Linked DNA regions of Sus scrofa. The protein of the gene in region 1 interacts with the protein of each later gene in a biochemical or structural test. Links are inferred from orthologs where the notes say so. Each region holds a gene or a part of one and is shown on either strand. Other genes may lie near its edges. The genes, in order: YWHAB and ZFP36.

Region 1 (3,805 bases):
AAAGAGAACTACCAAATAATCCTTAAAATGAAGGACTCTTTAAATGCATCACTGCACCAGACTTCTCATGCCCTTCACATTTGCTCCTTAGATACAGCTGTCCAGCCCCAGGACCCCGTTCATCATCGGTCAGCACGGTGCTGTGGCTCTTTAAATTTCTGACTACAAAACAAAAACTTAAAAAAATAAAAAAGTTACTTACTTTGTTTATTGTCTCCAGACGCCACCTCAGAAAGATATCTAAAATAATCTCCTTTCATTTTCAAGTAGAACACCTTACTTTCTGGTTGTGTAGCATTGGGAATTAGGTATTTGTCCAACAGCTCCTAAAAAATGATTCATGTTCTGTTAAGAATCTGGAAATATTACTTACGAGATGTTCAAACTATGTTTGAGACTCAAGATTCACACTACCACTCCTAAATGTCTTTTTGGAAGTTTGAAAAAAACGTAATTTTTATCCAGAGCTTTTAAATGATTTTTAGCCCAGGTCATAACAGATGCCTGTATTCATTCATTAAAAATCACTCTGACCATTCATAAGGGGTTGATTAAAGTACAGCCACACAATGGAATGCTACAGAGGCATTAAAAACGAGGATGCAGAACTACACTGCTAACGTGGAAAGGCTCTCACAAACAAGTCTAAGTGGGAAAAAAAAAGGAGATCGTGAATACCATGCGAATCTAATTTAATATTAAAACACGTATGTGTACACGCACACAAACACCTAGGGGAAAAGTCTGGAAGGATATTTACCAAGATGTTAATGGTTTTCTAGGTGGTAGGATTAGAAGTGATTTTTCATTTCCTTATTTATTTATACTCTTCTGCCCTATGCTTTTTAAAACAATGAACTTATTTCTGTAATTAGAGGAGGTTAAAAAAAAAAAAAAAAAAACTTTCCATTTTGGGAAAAAAAAAAGAAGAAAGTTTAGAATTAGTCAGACCTGGGTAGAAATCCCTCCTCTGCCGCCAACTAACTGCATGACCCTGAACAAATGACCTCATCGCCCTGAGCCTCAGTTTCCTCGTCACGGCATGAGGAAGCCCAGAAGCCAGCTCCTAGAGCAGTCAGGAGAAGAAATGAGCTGAGGTTCAGAAAGCGCTTAACACGTTGCCTGGCACGTAGTAAGCACTCCAAAAGTAGCTAATACTATTATTAATAATAAATTCCTTTAAACATTTATGCTTACAACAAAAGCAGTTCTGAAGGAGTCCAAGCTTCGTATACAGAGCAATATTTTCGAAGAGTTGTTTTAGAATGTGGCATCCTGAAAAACTGGTTAAGAGGCAGTAAGTACCATGCTTTTCTTCACATTCTCTCAGATGCTCTTATAAGCTGGTCTACAGTTCAGGAATTAGGGAACTTTCTTTTCTTGCCTCTGGAATGCATGCCATACTTCATCTGAACACCAGATGGACCTAACATTCAGGAATTAGGGCACCATTAACAACCCCCCCCCAATTACCAACGGGCAACAAATTCAGCCACGACACTTACACCACCGAGAGTCTAACAGAAAAGAGCAGCTCAAGGCAAAAGCTTAGCTGTAAGGGGGTTTCATCAAAAGTGAGAGGATGCAGGGGGCAGTAGTCGTTTTAATATTCTTTGCAGACAGACAGGGTGTGACTCCTCATGGGTTAAGGATGAGGAGCACTGCCTGGTGGCTGACAAGCTCTATACTGGTTTTCAAAAGAAAGGTGTCATGGGCAGTGACTCGGAGAGGCAGCCAGCAGGGGAGGAGGCAGATCCACACGTGTGAATTCCTTTTCTCTTCAAAGCGGCCCTCACCGTTCATTTTTACCTGATTTCACCCGGAAGACAAAGAAAGGTGCCAGTGGGCTCAGGATGCGAGGGAAAGACAACATGGCCATGATTTGCTCTGGGATCCGCACCCTCCCTTCCAAGCCCAGGTGAGCGCGTGAGGAGTCAAGCATCTGCCTGAGGTGTACACAAAACACAGGGGAGAGAATCCCCCCCAGACCCCTTCGGATCTGCCTTTGGAACGCAGGCCCCACCTGACGGAGGCGCCCAACTTTCCAAAAGGACTTTCCACAGTGCAGGCCTGACGGGGAGAGGCCGGCGGGCAGTCAGCTCTCTGCTCCTCTCTCCCTGACTGGGGACGGCATCGCCACTCAGGCCAACACGGAGAACTGCCTCTCCGAGGCTGCACCCATCAAAAATCCTGCCTCTCTGGCCTCGATTTCTAAAGCAAAGCTGGAGGGATGTTGACCAAGTGCTCCTGTTCTTCAGGGGTCTCTGGAAGGGTAAGCAAAGTACCCCATGAGTGATGAGCAACCTCTGATCAGTAAGAGGTGAGAGGGGGGGAAAAAAATCACTTTAGATGCTTAAAAATGAGCTGCAAATGGTGTGCGGCTTTCCAGTACAGTCAGACACCTTTCTTTCGCTCCTGAGCTGTTTGAAGGTCTGCATGTGTACATTAAATGAATACTATCAGAAATCCTTTGTAGGACAGAAACGCTGGCCTCTTACCAGAACATCGTTACAGATGTCCTGCAGCTCTGCCTCGATCTTCTCACGGTACTCTTTGCCCATCTGCTGCTTCTTCTCGTTCCTCTCTGTTTTCTGCTCGATGCTGGAGATGACACGCCAGGAAGAACGGCGGGCACCGACTACGTTCTTGTAGGCGACGGAGAGCAGGTTTCTCTCCTCGTTGGAGAGTTCGTGCCCCTGCTCCGTGACTGCCTTCATGGCCGCGGCCATGTCATCATAGCGCTCAGCCTGCTCGGCGAGTTTGGCTTTCTGTACCAGCTCACTTTTATCCATGGTCATTCCCTAGACCAGGAGCAAGAGGGAGAGAAAGCAAATGTCAGGCTTCAGGGCCTGGGAGATGCACGTGCAAATCTTCTGACCCTTCCAGAAAGAAACATACCTAAATGGGGAACATTTCCTACCAACGTCCTCAATGGTATTGACCACGGGGCTTACAGGGTTAAGTGCTTTGCTCAGGTGCTTTTACTGTTTTGGTCATTTTCGTTTCCCAGCAGTCCTACTGGAGAGAGATGCTCACAATCCCTTTCCCCTTTTTCGAAGTAAAGAAATGGAGGTTCAGAGAAGGCCAGGGCTGTGATGTGCCCAAGGGTCCATACGAGGTGGGAAAGCCAGAGCTCAAACGCAGGTCTCTCTGTCTCTCAGCTGTTTCCTTCCACTCTCCTAAGCTGCCTCCTTAATACACACAGACTGCCTACATCATTAGAAACTTGTGTTAAATATATGTCCTTTTCTTCTGAGACTTGTCTGGTTTTGAGCAAAGGCCACAAGAGAACTCCAGCTTCAATCAATCTTAAAGCAAAAGACACAACTTTCAGGGTTCTATCAGGCAGGGCCTATCAAGCAGCAGGTACCTAGAAAACAGGAGCCATTTCTATTTTAGCTTCTGCAATTCACCAACTTGGTCACAAGGACACACTGTCCACAAGAGCACAGACCAAGGGCAGCAGATGTGGCTTTCTCTGGCACCCGCTCCGCTACTTACAAGTGGTATGACCTTGGTCAAATCACTCAGCCCCTGAAAGCTTCCGTTTCCTAACGGGAGAATAAGAACATTACAGACCCTCCCGGGGCGGCCGTGAGAGCAAGCGGCCTAATCCGGGGGAAGGCGCTGTGCAAGGGTTAGAGCCTGACATACAAAGGCCAGGCACTAATTGTGTGTGGGGTACAAGCTGCAGAAAGAGATGGCCTATCACCAAGATGCACGGCAAGAGAACTATGAGCCAGAAATGAATTTAAGCTTTTCTAAAATAGACAAAAACTTCAGTGATTTCAATCTGTCATTTTGT
Region 2 (4,259 bases), on another chromosome or scaffold:
TAGGGACGGAAACATCCCGTCCCCGCCCGCGTCTGGCCGAGAGCTGGGTCAAAGAGCCCGGCGGGACAGGAGCGCCGGCGCCCCCCCACCCCCACCAACGCCCGGGAACTGGCTCTCCCGGTTTCTCCCGGGTGACCTCACCTGGCCCCGCCCTCTCAGGTGAACGGCCGGGGCAAGTGACGTCACTTCCTGCCAGGTAAGCGCCGCAGGCGGCTCAGCTCCAGGAAGGTTTGGAGGAGCTAAGGGCGGACTCTACCCCGCTTCTAAAAAGGTCCACACCCTCCTCCCCTCTCTGACCGCCTCTAGACCGCAGAAGAGCCAGGATTCCAACTTACAGATTTCTTTTATTTAAAAATTCCAAAAAACACAAAAATAAACTTTTAACAATATATTATTACTTAATATATTATTATAGTATACTTACTTATAACAATAATTATTCCATTGTTTCCAATATTACAAAAAAGAGGAAGAAAAATACAGGGAAGCAGACGACCCAATATATATAAATACTATAAAATCTATTAGAATAAATAAAGTCGTCATAAATAAAGGGCCCAAAGGCGAGGGCGGGAGAGCAGGGGGTTGACGCTGGCTTTGGCTACTTGCTTTTGGAGGGAAATTTGAGCACCAGGATACCCCCTCAGGGGAGGCTCCAGTAACCATCAAACACTGGCACCTCCGTGTCTAGGGAAAAGTGGAAGGGGGCAGAGGGGGGCTTATTATTCACAGCATTGGGCAGGGGAGAGGTGGGAGGAAGAGGGTTCACTGCCTCCCTCAGATTTGCTACATCTTTTTTTAAGACCCCAAACACTCCTCCCCCCTAATACCATGACCACCTGAGCTCACACACTGGGGACCTGCCCCAGCATGCGGTCAGGGGAGTGAGTTAATGCACTCTGGAAAGTGAGGGGAGCTACTTGATTAAGTCCCTCAGTTCTCCACAGCCCTGGGACCCCTTGTGGTGCCCACAGCACAAGAGAAATGGCCCCCTTAAGATCCAGCTCATCTGTACTGGGCAGGCACTTGTCACTCAGAAACAGAAATACGATTGAAGATGGGGAGTCTTCGGGGAACTGCAGTTGGCTGGGGTGGCCCCAAAACCCCGGCATCGAAGACAGGTGAATCGGATCCCCCCAGGCTGCTGCCACTGCTGGCATATTCGTCAGGATCAGATCCCAGGGAGTGTGCAGAGGGGCTCCGAGGCAGGCCACCCAAGGGCCCCCAGATGCTGCTGGGAGTGGCCCTTCGGCAGGACGGGCAACAGGCCGGGGTGGGGTCCCTTCGGGCCACAGGGGTCCCAGGGGCAGCAGAGAAGGCAGAAGGTGAAAGTGGAAGGTCCCCAGGTGGTGGTGGTGGGGAGCTGGAGGGCGAGAAGGAGCATGAGGACAGGGAAGGGCCTGCTAGGCCGGGTGGTGGTGGCGAGGTTCGGCGACCGGAGGGCAGGCCTGAGAAGCTGATACTCTGGCGCAGCACATGCGGGTGACCGGGGGCAGCCAGGTCTTCGCTGGGGTTGTGGATGAAGTGGCAGCGAGAGCCGTAGGGGCAGCGGCCCTGGAGGTAGAACTTGTGGCAGAGTTCCGTCTTGTACTTGGGGTGGCGGCTGGCCTGGCGCAGCTCGCCCAGGCCATGGGCAAACTGGCACTTGGCCCCATAGCGGCAGCGCCCGCTCTCTGAGAAAGTCCGACATAACTCAGTCTTGTAGCGGGAGGAGGTGGTGGGGGTCGAAGTTGGCGAGGTGGGTGAGGGCGACAGTTCAGGGCCTGGGCGGGGAGCCAAGGGTGCAAAGCCTGGGGGTGGGGGCACCCAGCCGCAGCTGCGACCTTCCACCAAGCTGGTGGAGCGACCAGGTAGGCGGGCAGCGACCCCAGCCGGGCTGGAATCGGATGAGTTGAGGCTCCACAGTCCCGCGGTGGCCCAGCCCGGGCTGGACTCAGTCTCTCCGTGGTCGGAGGATGGCAGGTCAGGGCTCAGCGACAGGAGGCTCTGTGGGAACAGGGATGGGTTAAGACACCGAAAATACAGGGTGACGCCCCGCCCCCAGCTGCAGAGCACCTAAAAGCTTGCCAGTCCGGTTTGTGGGTTCCTGGCTAGAACTCCACCCGCCCGCAGGAAAAAAATACGGGTTCCGGATCGCAAGAATCTCGATTCGGAGGTTCTGAGTTTATATTCGCGACTTAAGCTCATCCCGAGGGGCCCAGGAATCCCGGCTGCCCGGCAGGATCAAGTCAGGACACACACCGCTGTCTTCCAATTTTAAGCCTCTGGGCCTCTCGGGATCTGACTACACTCATCGGGTTCTCCAGTTTCACAAGTTGGAGACGCGAACAAAGTTAACCCAGGAGTGCGGACCTCTTGGGTTTTAGAGTTCCCAGAGTCGTCCTCTGGGTTAGGGAGTGGGGAAGCAGAAGTCGGCTTCCCCTCTCCGAGACTCTAGCCCCAGAAACGCCTCCGCGCAAAACCGCGCCCTCAGCAACTACTAGGGGTAAGCCAGGTGTGGGGCCATTTCCGCCTCCAGACAGCCCCAGCCTGAGAAAAGCCCTCCAGCTTTCCACTTCCGAAGGCCAGCCCACCCGTGTTTGGGCTGAGACCACAAAGTCACGGGCTCCATTTTCACCTCCAGAGGATCACACTGGTCTGAGAAGAGGCAGGATCCTCCCGGCCGGAGTGCGAAGCGCTAAAGAGCTTAGTTTGAGAAGGGAGCCAGAGTCCCGGGAGGGAGTTTGCGGCGCTAGAGGGTGAGACTTGAGAAAGGAGTCAGGCATGGGGACTCCGGGGTGCAAATCAGCGGGGGCTCACCTCGTAGATGGCGGTGAGATCCATGGCGGCGCAGAGGGCCGAAGGCTGAGGGGCCGGCCAAGAGTGGGAGCGCTGAAGTCAGGCTACAGCGGGGCCCGCACAGTGGCTGCATTTATTCAGCAGGAGGGGGCGTGGCCTCGAGAGGGGCGGGCCTGGGCGGGCGGGGCCAGGAGGGGCGCTTCCCGGACGCACCGCCCCAGCACAGCCCGCCCGGCCCAGGACCAGTCCCCTTCCGCCCGGCTGCGGGCCGGGACTTGCCTGATCCGGGTCCGCGGGCGATCGCGACCCCGCGGGGAGTGTGTGGGGTGAGGGGTGTCGGCCCAGTTTTCAAAGCTGGAGCCTGAGGCGCGGAGAAGGGAACTGGGACAGAGGTGGGGGCGGGGCAGGGCCCCTGGGGGAATTGACCGGGGCAGAGGCCAACGGACGGGGGCGGGGAGAGGCCCACTGAGTGCAAAAGACAGAAATGGAGGGAGGCAAAAAGACAAACACTGGGAGACAGACAGACACACACACACAGAGACGCACACAGAGGGGAGACGGGTACAGAGAGGGAGAGGGGGTAGAGAGAAGGAAGGTGGGGAGGCAGAGATAGAAAAGACGAGATATAGACGGTCCCAGACGGCAAATTCAGAGCAAGAAGTGGGGGGGGGGCACATAAAGAAACAGAGAAAAAGGGAGAAGGGAGGGGGGGAGAAATAAACATCCACAAACAGAAATTCTCAGGAGCAAGATGAAGAGACCAATAGGCCCGATGGAGAATTCTTTTGAGACCTGCCAGCCTGACATGGTCTCGCTCCCAAATTATCCAGGTCCCAAGACCTGTACCGCCCCACTCACGAGGGTAGGAGGAGCGCTGCCCCGACACCTGGCTGGAAAGGGGCCTCTTTCCCCAGTTCCAGGGCTTCTGTGACCTCTCACCCTCAAATATATAATGGCAATTCTAACCGCTACCTCTGGGTTAGGCATGAAAGTGCTTTACGTACATTAACTCAAGGAGGTATTATGCCCATTTTCTACACAAGGAAACCCAGGCACAGAGAGGCCAAGTTATTCTCCAATTAGTAAATGACAACAGCTTAATAACAGGGCCTTGAATTATGTTACGAGTTTGCACTCCGAGAAGCTCAAGATAGGAAAAGGTTGGAGATCTCTTGTTATGGTGGAGGGTTTTCTTGGTGGAAAGCCGTCTGGAGGTGGAAAAAGTGGGTCATCATCAGCTAATAGTCGGATGGGTCTCAAGAAAAAGGGACGTGCCTTGAGAGAACGCTAAATTTGCACAAATCACTCCCCCTATTGGCAAATTTTTTACTGTCAAGGGGTTGCCCTGCATGAAGCTCAAGATAAGGAGAAAAAACTAATTTTTAAAGGGGGTCTTGGTGAGCTGGCTGCCCTGAGTGAAAATAAGAGGGGTAGAAAGAAATCATTGCCACGCAGTTATCATGGTGGAAAGTTCATTCTTG

The links.
Region 2: the proteins of YWHAB (region 1) and ZFP36 form a complex in vitro, tested with the Homo sapiens proteins (2 studies listed by BioGRID). The link is inferred for Sus scrofa from reciprocal best matches to the Homo sapiens genes YWHAB and ZFP36.

Annotation. Positions count from the first base shown.
Region 1 is NC_010459.5:47,311,316-47,315,120, reverse strand, and holds part of YWHAB (14-3-3 protein beta/alpha), read right to left. Parts: intron 2,802-3,805; 5' UTR 2,799-2,801; coding exon 2,499-2,798; intron 327-2,498; coding exon 203-326; intron 1-202. UniProt on the Homo sapiens protein: Adapter protein implicated in the regulation of a large spectrum of both general and specialized signaling pathways. Binds to a large number of partners, usually by recognition of a phosphoserine or phosphothreonine motif.
Region 2 is NC_010448.4:48,062,327-48,066,585, reverse strand, and holds ZFP36 (tristetraprolin), read right to left. Parts: upstream 2,855-4,259; 5' UTR 2,824-2,854; coding exon 2,800-2,823; intron 1,987-2,799; coding exon 1,030-1,986; 3' UTR 351-1,029; downstream 1-350. UniProt on the Homo sapiens protein: Zinc-finger RNA-binding protein that destabilizes several cytoplasmic AU-rich element (ARE)-containing mRNA transcripts by promoting their poly(A) tail removal or deadenylation, and hence provide a mechanism for attenuating protein synthesis.